Struthio camelus: one gene and its partner. The protein of the gene in region 2 interacts with the protein of the main gene of each other region in a pairwise test. Links are inferred from orthologs where the notes say so. Each region holds a gene or a part of one and is shown on either strand. Other genes may lie near its edges.

The links.
Region 1: the proteins of DBNL (region 2) and SH3BP2 interact in binary tests that used the Homo sapiens proteins (3 or more experiments, as listed by UniProt). The link is inferred for Struthio camelus from reciprocal best matches to the Homo sapiens genes DBNL and SH3BP2.

What each region holds. Positions count from the first base shown.
Region 1 is NC_090945.1:76,986,553-76,997,827, forward strand, and holds the start of SH3BP2 (SH3 domain-binding protein 2), read right to left. Parts: upstream 5,328-11,275; 5' UTR 4,566-5,327; coding exon 4,456-4,565; intron 1-4,455. UniProt on the Homo sapiens protein: Binds differentially to the SH3 domains of certain proteins of signal transduction pathways. Binds to phosphatidylinositols; linking the hemopoietic tyrosine kinase fes to the cytoplasmic membrane in a phosphorylation dependent mechanism.
Region 2 is NC_090968.1:1,671,320-1,683,235, forward strand, and holds the start of DBNL (drebrin-like protein), read right to left. Parts: upstream 4,624-11,916; 5' UTR 4,538-4,623; coding exon 4,455-4,537; intron 2,619-4,454; coding exon 2,563-2,618; intron 1-2,562. UniProt on the Homo sapiens protein: Adapter protein that binds F-actin and DNM1, and thereby plays a role in receptor-mediated endocytosis.

The DNA of each region.
Region 1 (11,275 bases), on a different chromosome or scaffold from region 2:
GAGAACGCTTAATAAATGCAATTTAAGTATTTGTATTAGAAACATGGCCCAGATCTTAACACTCAGGCTTATCGGGTGACTGATGAGAAAGAAAATCAGTTTCTTCTCCAAAGTTGTATGTCACACAAGTACGCAAAACTTAATTTTCGGTATAGTAAGGGAAGCAGTATTTAGATTCAAGCAACTGAAATATCCAGCAATACTTACTGCTCGTATTTACACGTTTTACTCTAAACGAAACCATGTAGTATATAACCCTATACTGGATGTCATATGTGATACAGCACTCGGTGCAATTCAAGTTCCTCTCAGACTGCTGCAGGCTGCCATTTAATTTGTATATAAATTATTAATGCCATGCTGCACTAAGCATCTTTGCAACTACCACTCTTCCTGCTATTGTTTTACACGTTACCAAGAAAATTAGTCTCTTAAATAGTAATTTTATCCGTCTGTTATATCCTGAAGAGACTCTTCTTTCTTCAACTGGCAACAGAAGTATTTAGAACTGTATAGCCCTACCATATAATGCAGAAGAAAAAAGTATATGAACTGAATGATCTCCCCATGCAACGGTCATTACCCTCAGGCTTAGGGTTAGGGACATCTGCCGGAAAGAGGCAACCTAATAAAGTTCCTCTGCAAATAAAACCGGTTAAGCAGTTTCCGATAAAGAAACGATGGTTGAGAATCTTGAGAAAAGTCAAAATGACGGAAGTAGAGAGTGTTCATCAGCTGGCTGCTGACATCAAACCACACCGTAGTACTGTTAAGTGATTTCCTCAAAATTACGAATGCAAACGAAATTACTGGATGAAGATTTTTCTTTTAAGAACAAGCACCTCAACATTCAAACATTTGAAATTAATTTACAATTAAGTGATTTCAATCTGTTTCTAGTTACATTCAGGAAAAAAATTGAGTAGAAGTGGAACCTTTTTATTCAGTCAAACGCACTCTAATCTCAGTTACGTTGGTGTAATTCTAGCATTAGTCTCAAAGCTATCAAACAGCTTCAAGCTCAGCATAAGTCTTCAAATCTTGTCCGCTTATTTCACAAGGAACTGACCAAGAGGACTTAAGCATCTGGCCTTTAGAATGAAACTATACTCCCAGTGTTATGTACTTAAGTCAAATACGTATCAGAAAAAGAGAGAGTTCAATGTCTCAGAGCAGTTATCCAAAATAACTAGCAAGCTAAAATTTCTACCAAGCCAATGAAAAACACTGGGCAACAGGAGTATCCCTGATAATCCAACCAAATCTCCCTAGGTAAATATTGAAAACAAATATTTGATTAAGTCATGGTGGCCTTCTACGTGGCAATACAGTAGTTAGACTAGTTGCTCAAAAGCTTGTGGATAGGGCACTTTCCTCTTCTCCCAGAAGAGCCAGAACGTTGCAGGGGGGAGGGTATCATGGAAGCAGAGGAACAAGCAAGGAATCCAGTTCTACAGTATGATGACTATGATTTAACTTAGGAGGAAGAATGGTAGAGTATCAGGTTCCTATTCCTCTATTCACGATCATTTCCTTTTTTTGACTTCCTACTATAAAACAGTTATGATAACAGACACCAAACCTCAGAAATTCCCCATCCTAGCCAACTGAATGAAAGGACACGTGGCTGAACTCGGTCAAGTTTGTATGAGATAAGCTTAAGGGACCACCTAATATACCAGGCTTTTCAATGGGTTTACAGGCTGCTGTGCCTATTCGCTGGACCTCACCAGGGCTTAGACCACCCCCAATATCTGCAGGCTCCTCAAGCACTTTCAGGTGAAAACTAAAGACACATAGGGAAGACTTTAGTATTCTGGGTCAAAGTGTTTGAATTAGGCTTCTAAAATCCAGCTAAGTATTTTTAGTCTGGTCATAAACAGATTTTCACTTTTCTTGACAGTGCAAAACAATCTTCAAAGAACACTAGATGCTATTTTGCATCATGTTACAGGGACACAGCTATCAAAACAACCTAACTATAGGATGTTTATTGCAGGGGTGGAGAAAGGAAAAAAAAAAAAAAAAAAGATGCTCTTATAGATTTTTCTGGACTTAGCATCCATGATATGGTTGCATTTAGCTCCATGAAGTGGTTCCTTCCACTCCTGATATTCTTTTTCTTATTTTTGAAATCCATTGCACGAAGAACAGACCAATACTCAGGTACCCTCAATAGCAAGTGACTAAAGTCACTGTAGAGCCTATTAGCTCTATGATCATTAAGAGCAGAAAGATATTTCCAAGATGTGGTTTTTATGTAGTTACCGTCTTGCACTACATTGACTTAATTGCACTTCCATTGTGTTAACAATGAAGTTAATAGAAAGGGTCCACCAAGTGCCATCAAGGACAAGCCACGCTCACTTGCTGATGCCTGTCCTGTTAGAAACTACAATGCAACAACACTTGTGCTTTGTGTTGTGCTAGTTTCTAGTAATAGCCACACACATGCTCCTTCCCACTCCTGTCACCAAGGAAATAGATACATATTTTTAGACTAAGTCTTCATCACGTCCCAAAACCCATTACAAGTGGCTATTAAACCAACCTCCTTCCTCACTGAAATGGCACTGAACTAGACCTCTGAGCCACAAGAGAATTACAGCAGACAGTGATCTTATGATCCCTGTGACCATTTGAGGGAGATCATAGGCTTTTGAGTATAGTAGGAGAAACACTGGAACAGCACTTTATAGGAACTGCTTCAACCGTTTTTTGAAAGACGGAACAGTGCAGTTACACTGCTCTCCAGCAAGATACAGCACTTAATGCAAGTACTGTTGTACCTGCTTCATACATGCAAGTGTATGTTTGCCGGCTGCAAACGTATGTATGTTGGTTTTCAGTCCGCCAGACTGAAAACCAAAACAGTTTGCAGTGCACAGTTAATGCATCAAGTCAGTCCAACCCTGTCTATCATTTGAATATACCTTTCTTAGACATTATCAAAATAAAGTGCCCTTCATTTTAGCACAAAGAAGGGCATCTGTATCATGAAACTCACAACGGCATGAAGAAAGGTGAACTTATGCACTTCATGGTGTACCCTTGATAAGGCCGTGCTGCTTTGTAAGTTTCTTCTGAATCATAATGACACTGTTATCAAACACAACCGCAAACACCGTACAGGCTGCTGTTACTGTATAATGTGCAAACGTACACATCTATGAAGTAATTTTCAACCTATCCCCTCAGTCAATGCATAGAAAATAGCTAGATTTGAGTATGAGGTATAATTTCACAGGCTAAAAAACCCTAAAAAAGTAAAACAAGCAAACAAACAAAGTAAAAATAAAGTTCTACCACATTAAATCTGGAATACATTACGGAAGAACACTCACCCCTCTTGGCCTTAAGAGCTATCAGCATTCAGCCAAATTAAAGCAAATACAGGCTGATTCAACTAAGGATTGCATCCTGAAAGAGCCATGAGTCCTCAGTTCTTCCTGAACTCAAGTGTAACATACAGCAGATGTGATGAGCTCCACATCTTGCAGCATACAGGCGTAAAAACACATTACTCTCATCTCTGAAACTACCGCTGCCAAAAGCTGCGTTAAAAGTCCTCACTTGTCATAATAATATTTACAGTCTATCCTGGAGCCTGGTCATGCTGAAAAATAAACAAAAAAAACTAGACTCCAAAACTGCATTACAAAAATTGAATCTGATCCAAATTCATCGCAAGCTATTTTAATGTAAATTAAATCTAAGGACTTTCTAAACTCTATAAAAGCCTCTAGATTCTATTTGGAAAGTAAAACCTAGCACAGCAAGATGTTTGCTTCTGAATGCACATAGAATTTATGAAAACGAATGCATTCCACATACCTTGCAGAGGGAGATTTAAGTTTCAGTCTCTGCAAATGATTTAGCCAAAACTGAAGTAGCATTACGTGTATAGTAGAACTATAAAAGTTTCCCCAGTGTGCTCTCATTAAGACTGAACAAAAAGTAGTTCTCAGTTCAACAGTTTACACATTTACCATCTGTTCTCAAAACTCTTTTCTAGTCCTGAAATGTCTGCAGGATTATTCTTCATTTATTAAATATTTTTCAGTATTTCTGAAATGCTGATCCGTATTTCTCCCACTTTTGGGGGTTACACGTTCCATTTCCTAATACTTCTAACAGCTCCTTTCACAATGGTCTCTCAGAAGGATTAATAGCATAGCACAAACACTGGGAAGTCAAATAGATCTTACAGGACAAAGGGGACAGAGAACTAAGCCTGACTGAGGCACACACTTCAGCTTGCTTCAGCTTGCTTTTCTTTTCAGGCAAGCAGTTCCAACTCTTCTCATCTCTTCCCCCTCTAATAATTAATGTAGAAAATTCAAGGGTAAAGAATATTTTTCCCAAATACAATATTCTACTCTTAGCTTTAGTCTGCTCTCCACCTAAAAGAGGAAAGAACACAGAAATACAAGCCACAGATAGACATGCACTAACCTGGTGACCATGCTTGATCGACACATAGTTTTCCTGCTGACAGTTTCACCAAACGATCGCTTCCTTTGCAATAACAAAGCCATTAATAACTTATGACCCCTCTCGGACATGAGAGGGGCATCTCTGCGCTGCTCCCAATTCTGTGTATAATAAGGCTCAATGTGTGACTGCGACGGCTGCTGTACACTCAACACAAAAGGAAAAGAAACCCTGCCCCAACTGCTCGTGCATCTGCACTGCAGTGTGGCCAAAGGGGACGCCTAGGCAATGACTTGTTTCCTTTGTTACTTCCTGTTTCCCCCAGTGCTAGTGGGCAGCACTGTCTTTGTCAGATTTCCCAATCTCCCAGAGAGGTTGTAAATCAAGCCATGTATATCTCAACTTCTGTCAGACAGTGAGCCAAACTGCAGAGGGGATTTTCCAGTGCTCAAGTTGCTTCCTATTCATCTTTCAATCAACCACTTTCCCACGGGAGAGGGGAGGGGGGGGAAAAAAAGTAGTCACTTTTCTTACAGTGCACTCAGGCTCTCAGACCAGCAGAGGCACAGTTCAGAAAAATTGCCTGGTGCTTCTGAAGAGCGCCAAGCGCTTCAGCACCTGCCCTACAACACAGAAATATGGTGAGTATTTCATCTCTTTTTCACTATCACTAGAGCTTTTCTTTCTCTCCAACTCAAAATATTAAGAATGGCCACTTTGAAAGATTATGCAGGATATACACAGTTTGTAGTAAGTACCGTCAGTACGTTTGACACTATTCAAACCACCAAACACAATAAAAATCTAACCCAAGGAGACCATGAGTTAAAGGGAACAATTCTACAGGCAAGTGCCACCAACTGATGATAAACAAATGCCATTGTTTTACATTTATAATAGTATTCATCCAGAGTTCTTAAAATAAAAAGATCTGAATACTTCACTGGCTGTCTGGAATTAACCAACACACGGCTAAGAAGTTCAGATAAGGGAAAAAAGCTAGCCTATGTCAGAATGATGGACAAAACCTATATAGATTGATACACTGAATAAAGCTTACTTCATGTATTTTGGGAAAAATGGCATGAATCCCTATTCCAAAATGGGAAGGAAGAAGTCTCTGTACAAATTCTTTTGTTTCTGTAAAGTACCCAGCAGTCAAAGGAGAGAAGAAGACAACATTTCACATACTAGCCATATATATAGGGTAGAAAAGCAATTCTCTATCTTCTTCACCTTGGGATACCCATTGGCACTCCTTCCATAACCAGGGAATATTGGAAGGGCAAGGAGACTAAGCATCACCTGTTGCTAGCCAGAAACAATAGCATATCAAGACAAAATCCTGAAAAATATTTAGAAGATATTAAATAAACAAATAAATAAATAAATATCCAGTTGTCTCAGTGGTTAATTAACAGATTTCTTAAACAGAAAAGCTGTAGAGCTGTAGTTTGTGCATTAAATTCAGTTGTTTAACTACTACAATATAAGTCACCCATTTAAACTTTAAGCGTTCACGTACAATGGTTTAAAGCAATCTTTCTTCCCCTAGCTCTCTGCTATACTCTAAGAGTTCTCTGCTATCTAAGCATGCTCTTCAAAGCTTGCATTACCATCTTTGCCACCTTTATCTCCACCTCAGTGAAAAACTATGATTAAAATGACAGTATTTGAGTTCATTTTCTCCCGAATTGCATACACTGCTCCTCTTTCCATTTTCAGATCTAACATACCTATGCCTTAGTTTTCCCCTTCAAACTGCGCAACTTTAATTTGATGCTGTTTGGACTCCATAGTCTCACTTTATCCAACACACATTCCCGAAGTACTGCTTTTCGACTCTGATCTTTCTGCTGCTCTCCTCTCCCTTTCCTCTCTTAGGCACTCAGAGCCACACTGTTCATTTCAAGTTCCCAGATCCCCTTTTGATTTTTCTGGTGATTTCCAACCCTGTCAAGACGATCATAGAGGAAGAACGTAGAGTCAGAATAACAGACATTTTACACAATACAAGCTGGTGTTCCAGTGAGGAACAAAAAAGTTTATAGGGTCCACAGTTTTGAAAGAATATTGAACAAAAAAAGAAAAAAAACACACAGGCTTAACTTTCTAGACTGGTCATTAATCAGAACAGTTGTGTTTCAACCACAGATAAAGAGGTTGAATAGACATGAAATCTTTATGTCCTTGATTAACTTGTCTGTTACAGAAGTGAAAGAGAAATATATCCTCCTTCATAATGTGAAATTTATTTTTGCAAAACAGCCAGGCATGTCGCTTTCACACCATTAATATGCATTTGTCCCTGCAAAATCTATAGGCAGAAGGCCTTCCACCAACCTAGCCCAGGGAAGATTTCACCCAAAAGGAGGAACTTCATTTCTTTAACACTATGACATTTTTAATTCAGATAGCCTTAATGGGCAGAGTCAAAACATCAAAAAAAAAAAAAAAATCAACTGACATTTGAATTTCACTGCAGCAGGACCACTGCCTGAGGAAGACTGTCAATCGTATCTGCCATCATTACAAACTCCTCTTGCTCCCCAAAAACAATGCAACTTACTTCAAGCTTCTGTAAAGCTAGAGCAGTAAAACACATGCAACACTACGCTGTCCTTACCAGTACAAATTCACTAGTGTAGTTGCAGGGCTGAGCTGTCTCTGCAGCACTGAGAGCTTCCTCTTACTGACCAATTTACAGGAAACTGCAAGAATGGACTGCGAGTAAAAGCAGACTGAAAGTCCCAGCAGCAAAAAAAAAAAAAAAAAAAAAAAAAAGAAGAAAGAAAAGAAAGTAACAAAATCCACTTTTCTGCAGCCACAGCAAGTTGTCAGCTTAGCAGTCAGGTTCCACCAAGAGTAACACTAGAGATCATACATACTACACCAGTCTTTTACAGAAATATATAAAACAAGGCAAAAATTTGTTACAATTCTACTGGCTTTGATGAACTGTCGTGGTGCCCAGCGACAGGACAAGAGGCAACGGGCATAAACTGAAACACAGGAAGTTCATTCTGAACCTGAGGAAAAACTTCTTGACTGTGAGGGTGACTGAGCATTGGACCAGGTTGCCCAGAGAGGTAGTGGAGTCTCCTTCCCTGGAGATATTCAAAACCCCTCTGGACGCGATCCTGGGAAACACGCTCTAGAGGACCCTGCTTGAGATGATCTCCAGAGGTCCCTTCCAACCTAAACCTTTCTGTGATTCTGTGAATCAGAAATAGATTGAGTCTTATTGTTTTACTAATTCTACCAAACTTGTTTCATACCAAGCTTCTAGATCAGTGGAAGACACATCCAGTATATCGAGAAACGATATATTTGCAAACAGTACGCTCTGCAACTGCGGAACCTAAAAGAAAAAGTGGAAGTTACTCACATGAATCCTTCATGTGTTAGGTAAGGCAGTCCTGTGAAAACAGGAATAACCACACATCAGAAACGCTTCTGATGGCTGACCTGCAGAATAACAGTAAAAAAAAAAAATTAATAATGAAGGAATGGAATGAGGCCAAAACTACCAGAAATCCTCTCTCTGTGCCAAATGAGCTCAAATTCTGTAAACTTCAGCTGCCATTCCCTCACTCTGCTTACTAAGGAAGAGCTTGAAAAAAAAAAAAAAACCCCACCCCAAAAACCTAGTAGCTGAAGCTTTGGTAACACATATCCAATTCAAAACCCAGAAACGTTTTAGGTCGAAAACTTCAGTCTCTATTTATACCCTGCTGCTGCGAAGCTACGAACACGTATAGGCATATTGTTGACTTGGGTCTTCAGAAGAGGCAGGCAGCACTAGTCGGCCAAAAAGATACCATACTTAAGAAAAAGAGCTCAAGTATTTTAAAACAAAGCTGTAATTTTCTTTTGGTTGTTTCACCAAACAGCTTGACACAGGTCCTAGAAGACAATGTATTGACACTGATTTGGGGATATACTTCGTGTCGTACATTGCTCAGCTGCCTCTAGACCAAAGTACTGCCACAAAGTACTTTACTGTGCAGGCATAGCCTGTATAAAAGGGATTAGACTCCGCAACCGGAAGAGAGGAACCGTCTGCAAACTCTCAATACAACATTACTGTTCAACAGATTCTCTTGTAACAGCCAGCCCTGAAAAATAACCTAAGATGTCATACTGACATAAATAAGGACTGAATTAAAATCAGTAAAGTTATCCCGGCATAATCTTCTTGCTGGCAATTTTATTATAAGTAGCTTTTTCTAGTTAATTTAAGGGTTTTATACTGAATCAAAAAGCCCCTCAAACCTACAGAAGAGCAAGCACAGCCAACCCCACTCAGACTGTGCCAACAGAACAGGTGAAGTTGCGTCACGCAGACAAGCCCTCCAAACAGTGCAATTTTTCCATTCCAATTCTCAAAATAAGCAAGTTTGAGACACATTAAGCCAGGACTTTAGAGCAAGAAGAATTATACAATGCATCTATTCCAGATGAATCTACCTCACACTTGCTGGCAAGGGGAGTAGTAGTACGTTTTTTGTGTCCTCTATTACAAGACTCAGGAGTTCACAGCACCACAAAAAACAAACTTTGGTGCATACAATTCCACCCAGAGTACCTCACTACTTAAAGAAGGCTTAATTTAATTACAAGATTTCAAATCTGTTGAAAACAAGTTTTTAAAATACTTAAAATGAAAGGCAAGTTCTTGAACGTTTTTGCAGCATGCTTATCATATTTCTTAAAATAAACTTGAAGACACATTATCAAGATAAGACTTCCACTCTCATATAGCATTCAAACCAGATGGACAGGTTCTTTGTTCCTTGTAACAATTTCCTGTACGTAAGGGTCTTGTCAAGCAGACTGCAAGGTAAGTGCTTCCATGATTATGGTTATGACATCTCTCACAAGTGTTTGTAGCACAATTTAAACAAGAACAGAGTTACAAATCATGTAATTGAACAGAACTGCCAGTGTGATTGCCAAAGTCCTACTCCTGCACACAGTTGTACTGCAGACAGCTGCAAACGGAGTTTCCACAAATATACATAGACAGTGAAAGCAGGAGTTTCCACAAATAGTTATTTCCTTGCCAGAAGTTTTCTTCTCAAAGATAACGCAGTTGAAACAACTTCATTGCTAGGCTAGTTTGTGATGAACTGCATACAATTCCATCACCAGTGTACTCTGTCATCAATGATTTAGGAACCAGTCTTGGACTGCAAAACAAGTTCTGCTTACCTGTCCAAACATCTTTCAGTATTTAAGCTAGCAGACCATCTAGCTTTAGTTAGTGGAACACCAAAATAGAGACCTTTTTAAGTTTATTGGTTTACAAGGGAGAGCCAAATATGCAGGGCTGATTTTAAAGTGTATCTGACCCACGCATTTACACAAAGGGGTCTCTCTATAGAGAGTTAAGTCTGATGCAGGGAAATATTTTTGTCTTCTTTTTTTAGAATGTTATTTAAATCAATCTAAAGAACATCGAAAGTCTGGGGTGGGGGAAGGGGCTGGGACCCACACTTACGTTCATCATTTTCTACCGTTGTATGTATACAGTGCTTTTGTAAGCTTTAAACAAAGCTTAGGTCCAGGACTAACGTTGTCAGTTAAAGAGAATATTTCATATGAGTACATGTAAGTCAACAGAAAAATAAATGAATGCAAGCAATTTTGAAGGATCCCTGGAATAGCCTATTAAAAAAAAAAAAACCATACACCCCCACACAAAACACAACCCTCACACACCCCCAAGTTAAGCTAATCAAGAAACAGTCTTTTTGAATATCCATCACAAAAAAAGTGAAATGAGTAGATTTATGAACTCTTGTTGGGCCCAATAAGAAGTTACTAATTGACTGCTAAGTGGATTCAACAAGCCTCCCTTTACAGGAAGCGCTTGATCACGTCATACACCAACCCTTCACACATGTGAGTCCCTCTTCTGGTGGTGTGCAGTAAGATTATTTTTAATTTACCTCTGCAGGCCAATGGCTCTGCAACCAGCACCAAGGAGGAAGCCCAACTTCTGTCAGACCCTGGAAAAACAAAATGAGACAAAACATTTTCTATTTTTATTTTGCTTGTAAAGACACCATGTGATACTATTTAAAGACAAAAGCATAACTGCAAAGACACTTCCTTTCCATTTTACTGCCGTACAACATAGTAGAGGGTGCTAGTTTTTAACTAACGACACAGTGAAGCATCTCAGAGATTGTTATTTTCACACTTGGAAACTCTGACTAGGAACTAAAATTTAAAATTAAGCTAATAAGCATAAAAGTGTAACTTTACAGAATTAGAAACCTCAACCAACCTATGCTGCTAATGGACAGTCCCCACCTCCAAGAGCTTTGAAGCCTAGACGGAGAAAAGGGCAGGAAGAAAATATTTACCAAAAACTAATTAAAGTGTGAGGATGAGTACTGTGCCCAAAGGCTCACATAACCAAGAAGCTGTACCAGAAACAAAGTTTCTTTATGCTGATTCCAATTATTGTTCTCTTTTAAATCATGATATGAACTTCTCTAAAGTATGTCATAAGCCTCAAAAATTTTACCACTCCTATCTCCCACCACCCAAACAGCTAAATCAAAGGACTGAAACAGGTAGGAGCATAGACTACAATAACCCAGATTTAAGGTTATAATTTACTTCATCGCTTGGGTATATACTTAAAAAGAAACCACTCATTGAAAAGAATAATCTTTCTAAGCTCATACTTAATTTTTACAAAAGCAGAATTCGACTGTACTCATCAGCTCACACGTAGCTGGGATTTTGGTGATAAGATTTATTTTAAATTGAAACAAATGTACAGTATAAGGCTTCCCCAGGAAAACAGCAATAAACAAATAATTGT
Region 2 (11,916 bases):
CGAGCTCTCACCCACGCCCCCATCCCTCTTTAGAGCAAGAGTTTCTCTTCTTCAAAAAAGACGCTGTCAGGACCTCGACTGCTACAAGCACACCTACGCATACTGAAACATCCCGGGTCCATAACAGCGAGTCAAGTGAAGAGATACAAAAGGAAAGAAGGTAGTCATGTGTTCCAGGCTAATTAGAGACGTTAATGCGCCGATCAAAGCCAGAGTAGACGGCTGTAAACTCTGCCCACAAGTTCTTACATGAAATCACACGGCAAGATCTTACAGTGAGCGCCTCCACCATGAGAAAAAAGCTCAATGGGAGTCCTGCTACTGATCTCAGCAGGATCAGCGACGTCTCAAGAAGCTGCAGAGGAACTAGCTACGCCCGAGAGCTGTCTTGTTCACAGCACACCTTATAAGGCCCACAGAGGCTGAGACGAGCGCTACTTCGTAAAACGGGAAGTTGACACGAAACAGAGACGCTGCACTGCGCTGGGGCAGTGCAAGTTCCCGCTCACCAACGGTATGAGTTAGTACCACTCCTGCCCTCGCGCTTTTCTCACTGCCCTTAAGCCCGCAGGGTCCTTCCAAGCAAAGCCTCATTGCAAGGAGGTCTCCTCCCAGCTACAAGCTTGGGGACAGAAAAAGAAAAACCTACCTCTGCACAGAGATGGAGTTTTGAAAGTCTCGGCGCAGAGGTTGAGCAAGATGGGCGAGTGCAAAGGCCCAGATGGAAAGTGCTACATTGCACCATTAACCACAGCATCACTCCCTCTAAAACCGTATGCCAAAAAAGCTAGCAGAAAAGGAGGAAAAACGCAAAAACATGTGCTCTCATTTCAAAAAAATTCCCACAAAGATTCCTCCTACAACACTGGTCTGTCTGACCCCTAAAAAAAACAGAAAACAAACTCTCGCTTGCCATCAAACACTGGTAGCAATTTCACGGTCGAGACTGTTTAGATCTGCACTGCAGCAGGACCAGAGATCTTTTTCTCCTCCACAATTAAATATTTACGCTTTGTCTCTAAATTTGGCACAGTGGTTTCCAAGCCCGAGCCCGACAGAAAAGCGTACGCCTGAAAGACTCGAGCTGGTCGGCCGATGGAAACCCTTGCTACGGAGGCAGGCTTTCCAAGGGCCCCAGGGCTACCCGCCAGCACGTTTGCCTGTTTGCTATGTCAATGTTTAACGGGGATTGTGGCTGGCACGGAAGGGTGGAGGGACATAAAGGGCAGTGCAGGGAGGAGCACAGCTCTGCAGAGACGTCAGGGCTCCAGGGAGACTGGCACCTACGGGTGGGTGTCCACAGGAGTTACGTACCGCCTGGATCACAAACTGAGCAGGTTTTCCCGCGAAAACCTAAGGTACTTTTGATTGGCGTACAAAACTCTCCAAGACAGGGAGCTAAGCGGTTAACACCTAACTTCCTGCGCGGTTCCTAAATTCAGATCGCCCTCTTCCACACATTTCTCCCTCCACGCTCTTCGACTACAGCAAACCTGCATTTCAATTCCACATCTAATCATCCGCAGCCATGCCTGCGTTCACAGGCCGTCCCGTCCTCGTCCTCGGCAGCCTTCGCGGTACGCCTCCCCGGCCCGGTTTGACAGCATCCTCCGCTGGACGCAAGGCCTAACGCAAAACCCCACGGCACGCCTGGCTTGCTCGACCCTGCGAAGCCGCATCGGTCCCAGAAACGCGTCACCTAGCTGCGGTCAGCCAGCAAAGCGCTCTCAAGGTGCCGAGCGCTTCGTGGGCTGCGAAAAACGCTTGCAAATTCAGAGAGGAAAGCAGCGAGGGAGCAGAGCTGAGGGATGCAAATCGAGAGAGCAAAGAAACCCGCCTGGATGCGTCCGTCGCCTTTTAACAGCTTTAGCTTCGCATTAAGAAGCATTTGTGTGCGAACCAGCAACCAGATGCAAAACGTCCCATAAAGCAGGGAACGAAAGGAAGAAAAGACGCTTTATCAGCAGCAAGTTAAAACTGCCAGCACGAGAGGCCGAGCTTTGAAGCGTCCTACAGCGCTTTTTTACGTCGCGTTACCCCTGCTTGCGGTCTCAAATACGTCAGGATCGAAAAGGGGAAGAAGGTCCAAGGGTTGAACGTAGCAGCCGCTGAAGAGAGGGAAACAACAGCACACGAAGGAGAGGAGAAGGAAGAACCGCGCGCGGCTCTCAACGCGCGCCCAGGGCTCTTCTCCCTTTTCCTACCGTGCGACCGTTCCCGTTTCCCCCCCCCCCCCCGCCCTCAAAAAAAAGGGCGCAAACCACCCCGCAGTCGCCCGCGCGGGCTCTCGCCCTCCGTCCCGCCGCCGAGGTGAGCCGGTACCGAAAACACCCTGCGTTCGGGAGCCGGGGCGAGGGAGGGAGCGCAGCTCCCCGTCGCTGGAGCTGTTCCAGGCGGACGCCGGACGCCACCAGAAGGGCCGAGAGCGGCGACGCCAGCCAGAGCGCGTGAGCTCGGCGAGGCAAGCCCTTCCCAAATCCAACCCGCGCCGCCGGGGCCGCCGGGGCCGCCGGCCTTCCCTCTCCGCCCCCCCCCCCCCCCCCAAAAAAAACCCACGCTCACCTCCCGAGCCAGCCACTCGCAGATCATTGCTGTTGCCTTCGTACGTAAACAGGGCCCTAAGATGAAAAAGCCGGAGGGGAGAGGTTTCGTCAAAGCGGTCGGCCCCTCTCGGAGGTCCTCGGGGCAGCGCCGCCCGCCAAGCCAGCCCGCTTCGGAGCCCCCCCGCCCCCCCGGGCCATACCCCGCGCAGCCCCCCAAGCCACGCGCCTCATCTCCCCTAAGCGCCCCCACCACCGCCCCCCCCGTCCCCCTAGGCCCCCCCCGCATCCCCGATCCCCCCTATATACCCCCTTATACAGCCCGCATCCCTCAAGATACCCCCCGACACCCCCACAACCCCCCCTCTCCCCTGTTCACCCAGCCGCAGACACCCCCTCGCCCCAAGCCTCCTAGAGCCCCCACATGACCCCCAACACCCTCAGACGCCTCAGCCCCCTACACCCCCACATCCCCCCACACCCCCATCTCTGATCCCCCTACACACCCCCCACCCCCCCACATCCCTCATCCCCCTACACCCCCGTATCCCCCCAACCCACATCCCCCCCACACCCCCACATCCCTCATCCCCCTACACCCCCGTATCCCCCCAACCCACATCCCCCCCACACCCCCACATCCCTCATCCCCCCTACACCCCCATATCCCCCCACCCCACATACCCCCCACACCCCCACATCCCTCATCCCCCCTACACCCCCGTATCCCCCCACCCCACATCCCCACATCCCTCATCCCCCCTACACCCCCATATCCCCCCACCCCACATCCCCCCTACACCCCCGTATCCCCCCACCCCACATCCCCCCCACACCCCCACATCCCTCATCCCCCTACACCCCCGTATCCCCCACCCCACATCCCCCCACATCCCCCCATCCCTCATCCCCCTACACCCCCATATCCCCCCACCCCACATCCCCACATCCCCACATCCCTCATCCCCCCTACACCCCCATATCCCCCCACCCCACATACCCCCCACACCCCCACATCCCTCATCCCCCTACACCCCCGTATCCCCCACCCCACATCCCCCCACATCCCCCCATCCCTCATCCCCCTACACCCCCATATCCCCCCACCCCACATCCCCACATCCCCACATCCCTCATCCCCCCTACACCCCCATATCCCCCCACCCCACATACCCCCCACACCCCCACATCCCTCATCCCCCCTACACCCCCGTATCCCCCCACCCCACATCCCCACATCCCTCATCCCCCCTACACCCCCATATCCCCCCACCCCACATCCCCCCTACACCCCCGTATCCCCCCACCCCACATCCCCCCCCACACCCCCACATCCCTCATCCCCCTACACCCCCGTATCCCCCCACCCCACATCCCCCCCCACAACCCCACATCCCTCATCCCCCCTACACCCCCATATCCCTCCACCCCACATCCCCCCCACACCCCTGTAACCTTCATCCCCCACCTACACTCCCCACATCCCCCCTAACACCCCTCCTCCCCCTACACCCCCACATCCCCCCCACATCCCTCCTCCCCCCACACCCTCACATCCCAACACCCCAGAACCCCCCACACCCCCACATCCCCCCACACCCCCACACCCTTCCTCCCCCCACACCCCCACATCCCCCCCACATCCCTCCTCCCCCCACACCCCCACATCCCTCCTCCCCACACCCCCTAACACCCCTCATCCCCCCTACACCCCCCATACCCCACATCCCTCCCCACACCCCCACATCCCTCCTCCCCCCACACCCCCCCATCCCCCCAACACCCCCACACCCCCCAACACCCCAGAACCCCCCTACATCCCCTCACATCCCCCCCACCCCCGATCCCCCCCACCCCAGGCCCCCCCCGCCCCAGAGGCCCCCCGCGGCCCCCCCGGCCCGGCCGGGCCCTCACCAGTCGGTGGGGCTGCCGGCCGCCACCACGCGCCCGTAGGCCTCCTGCAGCGCCGGCCCGTTCTTGCTGAGGTTCAGCGCCATGGCAGCGCCGCCGCTTCCGCCCCCGCCCGCCACCGGCACCGGCACCACCGCCCCCCGCCCCGCCCCCACGGGCCGCCCCGCCCCGCCCCCCGAGCCGCCCCGCCCCCGAGCCGCCCCGCCCCGCCCCCCTCCCCGCCCCCCTCGCCGCCCCGCCCCCTCACCGCCCCGCCCCGCCCCCACGAACCGCCCCGCCCCGCCGCCGCCCCGCCCACCACTCCGACCGTCACGCCCCCCGTCACGCCCCCCGTCACGCCCCCCCTCTCCCGCCTCCCGGCCGCCTCGCACCGCCACTGCCACCGCCGCCCCCTGCCAGCGCGGCCTCGGGGGACACCAGTGGGGCCCTGGGGACACCAGTGGGGCCCTGGGGACACCCTGCCCCAGCACGGCCCTGGGGACACCAGTGGGGCCCTGGGGACACCAGTGGGGCCCTGGGGACACCCTGCCCCAGCACGGCCCTGGGGACACCAGTGGGGCCCTGGGGACACCAGTGGGGCCCTGGGGACACCCTGCCCCAGCACGGCCCTGGGGACACCAGTGGGGCCCTGGGGACACCAGTGGGGCCCTGGGGACACCCTGCCCCAGCACGGCCCTGGGGACACCAGTGGGGCCCTGGGGACACCAGTGGGGCCCTGGGGACACCCTGCCCCAGCACGGCCCTGGGGACACCAGTGGGGCCCTGGGGACACCAGTGGGGCCCTGGGGACACCCTGCCCCAGCACGGCCCTGGGGACACCAGTGGGGCCTTGGGGACACCAGTGGGGCCCTGGGGACACCCTGCCCCAGCACGGCCCTGGGGACACCAGTGGGGCCTTGGGGACACCAGTGGGGCCCTGGGGACACCCTGCCCCAGCACGGCCCTGGGGACACCAGTGGGGCCTTGGGGACACCAGGGCGGCCTTGGGGACACCCTGCCCCAGCACGGCCCTGGGGACACCAGTGGGGCCCTGGGGACACCAGTGGGGCCTTGGGGACACCAGGGCGGCCTTGGGGACACCCTGCCCCAGCACGGCCCTGGGGACACCAGTGGGGCCCTGGGGACACCAGTGGGGCCTTGGGGATACCAGTGGGGCCCTGGGGACACCCTCTGCCCCAGCACGGCCCTGGGGACACCAGTGGGGCCCTGGGGACACCCTGCCACAGCATGGCCCTGGGGACACCAGTGGGGCCTTGGGGACACCCTGCCCCAGCACGGCCCTGGGGACACCAGTGGGGCCTTGGGGACACCAGTGGGGCCCTGGGGACACCAGTGCAGCTTTGGGGACACCAGTGGGGCCTTGGGGGCTCCAGCACAGCCTCGGGGACACCCTGTCCCAGTGCGGTGCAGGGGACCCCCCTCGCACACACCCTCACTCGGACCCCCCCCCCGCCCGGATGGCCCCCGCGTCCCCTGGGGACACCGACACCCCTTGGGGACACCCCAACCCCTCCCTCACCCCAAAGGGCCCCCAAGCCCCAGAGGATCCCTATGGGGGGGGGGGAAGAGTTTGCTCCACCGTCACCAAAAAAACCCTTTTTCCCCCCAAATCCTGCATCCCTTGCACACTGTGGGGGAGGGGGGGGGGCAAAATTGCGGAAGGAAATTGGGGAAGGAAAAGCCAAAAATAAAGTAACCAAAACAGGCAAAAAGTTGCCGTTCCAGCCGCAGCGCTCACGGTTTTAACGCTCTTTTTTCCCTTTCTTCCGGAGCCGCTTTCCCAACCGCAGCGAACGTTTCCCAAATCTTCGGGGAAAAGCCAAAGGAGGAGGGGGGGGGAGGAAAAAATCCAAATGTTTGGAAAAATCCAACGATGATTTTGGGTTTTTTTCCCCCCTCCCCGGGGCCAGCCGGGATGAGCCGAAACCCGCGGGGAAAAGCCCGATTTTTCAATCCCCGCTCTCGGGCCGTCGCTCCGTCGCGCCCTGCTTGGATACAGCCGCCTTCTTCCAGCGCGGGAAGAACGTGCTGCCGATTCCACGGCTGAAAACAACAATAAGCCGGGAAAAAACAAAAAAACTAATTCCCCCCCCCCAGTTTCTTTTCACCCGGCTACACTTTTGCCGCCTGACTCAGGGCGTTTTTCTTTTTTTTTTTTTCAGGATGCCATCCGGGGCTCATTGTTTCCCGGCTCTGATTCCCCCCTTTTTTTTTTTTTTTTCCGCCTTTAACGCCCAAAAAAACCCCTTTCGCCAGCCAAAAATCCCCGCGTCACCGAGCCGTAAATCTCCGCGCCGAGCGGAGCGCCCGCGGCGGGAAGTCGAGCAGCTTTTCCAACCCCCCCCCCCCCCCCCGTCGCCTTGCGCTTTGCCCAAATACTTGATGTTTTTACAGGATTCCAACTTTTTGGCTTTTTTCCCGCGCCTGCGCTCCCGGCGCCCGTCCCGGGGCAGCGCCGGGCTCCTGTTTACACGGCTTTGGGCCCTCTCCGCGCTCGCCGCCAGGTGGCTCTGCTCCCCTGGCGTCCTTTTGGGGGGGGGCCCCCCCCCCAAAAAAAAAGCCCCAAAAAAGCTAATTAAACTCGGCACGGGTCGGGGCCGATTAATTATTTTTATGAATTTTGGTTGCGGGGGGCTTTCGGAGCCCGGCGTGGCCCCACCGTTCCCGGCCCGCCGGCCGCCTCGACGCGGACCCCCAACAACTAACTGGGGGGTTTGTGGGGGGTTTCGGAGGCCGGCCTTGAGCTGCTTTCGAGCTTAAACTGAGCATTTTGGGGTGCAACTTCCCCCCCCCACCGCCGCCGTCGAAGGGAAAGAGCGACCCAAAGAAAAGATGCTGCGGGAAGGGAAGGGAAGGGAAGGGGGGCTTCAGCCCGCTCCGGGGCCGAGGCGACACGCGGGGAAAGCTCGCCGCGGGTGCTAACAGGAAAAGACGTGTTTTTTCCCCCGCTGGCCAAGCTAAAAAAAAAACAAAAAACAAAAAAGAGGAAAAATATTTAAAAAAAAAGAGAAAAACCCGGGATTAACATTCCTAACGCGCGGCAGCCTCCTGCCCCGGCTGGCGGCCACTGCGGTTTCGGAGCCACCGGCAGGTGAGATTTAGTCCGGTGTAATTAAAGGAGGTGAAAAACGAGCAGCCCGGAGCGCTCGCCACCGGCGGGACGCGGCGCGCGGGGGCCTCGCTGCCAAAGCCCCCGGCCTGCCCAAAACGGGGGGCTCGGGGAAGGAGAGCCCCCCCCTCCCCGCCAGCGCGTCCTCCGATTCCCTCCCGCCTCGTTTTTCCCGCGAGCCGGAGGCTGCAGCCTCTGGTGGGAGAAAGTTTCCCCCTACTCCAACCCCGAGCTGAGAACTGAGAAAGTCGTGACATGCACCGAGCGAAAGGCGCGCGGCCGGCGCTTTGGATGCTTGTTGGACGCCCCCTCTTCTGCTACCCGCTAGCGCAGGCAGGGGGGCGCGTGGGCCGCGGCCGCCCGCTGTGCCTCGGTTTCCCCATCTGCAGCACACGCGCGCCGGGCTGCCCGTTTACTTGGCAACCGGGGTAGGGGGGGGCGAAACTTCAAATTTCCCTCGGGGGTAGCGAGACGTTCGCCGGCGTGCGGAGGGCTCGGGCCGGCTCGGATGCCGCCGCCGGAGAAATCACAGCGCTGCTCTGCCTCTGCAAGCAGCTTTGCGGCCTTTTTTCCCCCAAAACCAAGCCGGGAGCAGGACGGTGGGGTGGGTGGGGGGGGGAGCCGAAAGCCGGCGGGAGGTGGCTCGCAGCAGCCGAGCATCCTGCCCTCCCGGAGCGGGGATGTAAATGCCGGCCGGCCGGTGCCAGGCCCTGCATGGCCGCAGGGCTCGGTGCCCCCTCCTCCAGGCTTGCGCTAATGGGCCATTTGCAGATAGTCATTTCGGGTGCTCACCCACCCCCCCCCCAAAAGCGCCCCGAGGCGGCCGCTGCTCCCAGCCCCCAGCCCTGCCTCCTCCTTCCTCGTTCCAGTCACCACCACCCCGCCATGGGGCCAAAGCGACCCCTTGGACCCCCCAAATCCAGCTGCCGAGGCCTGGAGGTGGGGTGGCGACCGGGAGGGGAGGAGTGGGGTGGCCGAGGGTCCCGGGATGGCTGAGGATCCCAGAGTGGATGAGGGTCCTGGTGTGACTGAGGGTCCTTGGGTGGCCGAGGGTCCTGGGGCAGCTGAAGGTCCTGGGGTAACTGAGGGTCCCAATGTAGCTGAGACCCCCAGGATGGCCAAGGGTCTCGGTGTGGCCAAAAGTCCCTGGGTGGCCAAGGGTCCCAGATGGCTGAGGGTCCCAGGATGGCCAAGGACCCTGGTGTGACCAAGGATCCCAGGACAGATGAGAGTCCCGGGGTGACTGAAGGTCCAGGTGTGACTGAGGGTCTCAGGGTGGCTGAGGATCCTGATGCGGCTGAGGGTCCTTGGGTGGCCAAAGGTCCCAAGGTGGCCCAGGGTCCTGGGGTGGCCAAGGGTCCTAGGTGCTGAGGGTCCTGGGGCAGCCAAGGGTCCCAGGGTGCCTGAGGTCCTGGCGTGACTGAGGACCTGGGATGGCCAAGGATCCTGGGATGGCTGAAGGTCCTGGGACGGCCTAGGGTCCCAGGGTGGCCGAGGGTCCCGGGGTGACCAAGGATCCTGGGGCAGCTGCTCTCAGGGCGCCAATTCCCAACACCGCGGTCCCCCGAGCACGGCGTGCAAATCGATGCTTTGCAAAAGTATCTTTGCAAAAAGACGGGTGATGAGGGGAGGCGGAGGGGCGGCATCTCACTTGCCCCAGGGGCATTTCCAAAGTTTTTAATTTATTTTAATTTACGGTAGCTTTTCTTATCCCTCCCCGGTGTTTCGGGTGGCAGTTTGATGTCCCCACGGAGGAGGGCTCGTCGGTTAAACGTGAAATCCCGCTCCGGTTTCATCCTCGCAGAGCCTTTGGGATGCTGCTAAATGGAAGGGGAAAAACTTCGACAACTCGAACATGCTCAGGCAAATCCTGGTCGATGGGATCTCGTTTAGGGGCGCGCGTAAGCCTGGGTAATTGCTTGTGTTTCGTTTGGGGCTGCGCAGCGGCAAAGCAGGGTGTTAGGTGTGTCGAATGCTGCTGCCCCCGGGAAAACCAGCGATAAAGGCGATTCCAGAGCCCCCCTTCGGCCTCCCCCGCTCCCTGGCTCCCAAATTTCTGGCCCGCTTTGAGCTCATAGCAGGGCCAGGAGCGAGGCCCTTGGCCCCAGCCTGAAAACAAAACACCCAAATCAAACAGGGGCAAAAAAAAAAAAAAAAAAAACAGAAAAAAAGACCCGAGTGAAGGCAGCAGCCACGACGGTGTTGGCCCTGTTAAGTGTGTCAGCGCTGCGGTCACCGCCACCTCGTTCCTGCACCTGCGCCCCACTTTGTGGGCTTTCAAGGGGTCGCCACAAGCCGGGGTGCCGGTGGGAGCAGTGAGAGATGTTGGGGAAAATAAAGCTTTCACTATTTTCTTTAAAACAAAAAAAAAAAAGCAACGTAGTAGTCCCGCAGCGAGATCTCTGAGAGAGGCCCCGGGGTGAATTCGCCAGGAAAATCACTGCCTCCCACTCACGCCCAGGAAAATCACTGCCTCCCACTCGTGCCCGGGGAAATCACTGCCTCCCACTCGCGCCTGGCTGGAGGGCTCTCCCCGCTGCACCCACCCCCTCAGCGCAGAGCCGAGGGCGACCTGGGGGCTGGCAGATGTTCGCTCGGCGTTGAGCAACTCGATGGAAAGGTTAATTAAAAGCAGGGCAATAAAACATCTGGAAGAGCGCGAGCTGGGAAGGCCCAGGCAGCACGATACCCTGCAGCTGCCTCTCGCCGTTCCTTGAGAAACTTGGGCAGGGGGGACCGGGGTCACCATTTATTTAGATGTTACAAAAGCCTTTTCATGAAGTATTTCAGGCAAAGCTACTGAAGAACCTTTGTGGCGAGGACCGAGGGGCTGCCGGCCTGCAAGGACGGGGAGGAGTAAGACGAAACGGCCGGCTTATCCCGGCCCAAATGCTGCCCGTCCTGTCCTCTCAGCTAGGGCCGATTTTCCAAATAGGTTTTTTAAGCCGGAGAGGTTTTGGAAGCGAGAAACACGACCCCGGGGCAAAGCGGTGTCGGGCGAAATGGGGAAGTGGCAAGTCCGCAGGGCGATAAAGGTTGGCGGGAGACGTGTTTGGGCTGTGGCATCGGCCGCCCCGGATTTCGCGGAGAGCAGAGCCCGGGATGGGTAACGGGGGGCAGCTGCTAAAGCGAACGTGGCGCTGGGGCTGTGAGAAAAAGGAGGGAACTTGGATTTACGAGGGTTTTCCAAAGGGGTCCGACCTCCAGGCTGGCTCAGAGCACCACGAGGCACTGGGCTTTGGGCCCATGGGTGCCCCTCTCGGTACCCAGGCACCCAGCGTGGGGTGGGATGGGGACCCCTCTCCATGCGTCCCGCTAAGCCACGGCCAGGCAGGATGCGGGCGATGAGATGAGGGTGGGCAGGATCGGGGGATATCCGGGCAGGATGGAGGCACCCAGGTGGGAGAGGACACCCCAGTGGGATGGGATAGCCTGAGTGGGATGGGGACACCTTGGGTGGCATGGGGGACACCCTGGTGGGAGAAGGGCACCTGGGGTGGATGGGGACACCCTGGTGGGATGGGACACCCAGATAAGATGGGAGCACCCAAGATGGGATAGAGACATCCTGGGTGGGGTGGGGGCATGCAGATAGGATGGGGACACCCAGTTAGGATGGGGGAACCCTGTTTGGGCTGGGGGCACCCAGGTGGGATAAGAGCACCCCCACAGGATGGGGGCACCCTGGACAGGCAGGGAGTACCCTGGCTGGTTGGGATCACCCTGGATGGCCAAGGGGCACCAGGGCAGTATGGAAGCACCCAGACAGGGTGAGGACACCCTGGATGGGGTTGGGCTGCCTAGATAGGATGGGGACACCCCAGCAGGATGTGGTCCACCCTGGATGGGCCAGGAGCACCCTAGCAGGACAGGGGCACCCTGGATGGGCTGGGGATACCGCAACACAATGGGGACACGCTGGATGGGTTGGGGCCTCTCCGGTGGGATGGGGGCACCCAAATAGGTTGGGGGCACCCTGGATGGGCCAGGGTCACCCCAGCACGACAGGGACACTCAGACAGGATAGGGACACCCTTGACGGGCCGGGGCCACCTCATCATGACGGGGACACCCAGATAGGATGCAGACACCCTGGACGGGCTGGGGACACCCCAGCACAACGGGGACACTCAGACCGGATAGGGACACCCTGGACAGGCCGGGGACACCCCAGCACGACAGGGACACCCAAACGTGATGCAGATACCCTGGATGGGCTAGGGCCACCCTAGCATGACGGGGACACCCAGACATGATGTGGATGCCATGGACGGGCCAGCACCACTCCAGTACGACAGGGACACCCAGATAGGATTTGGACACCCTGGACGGGCCAGGGACACCCCAGCACGATGG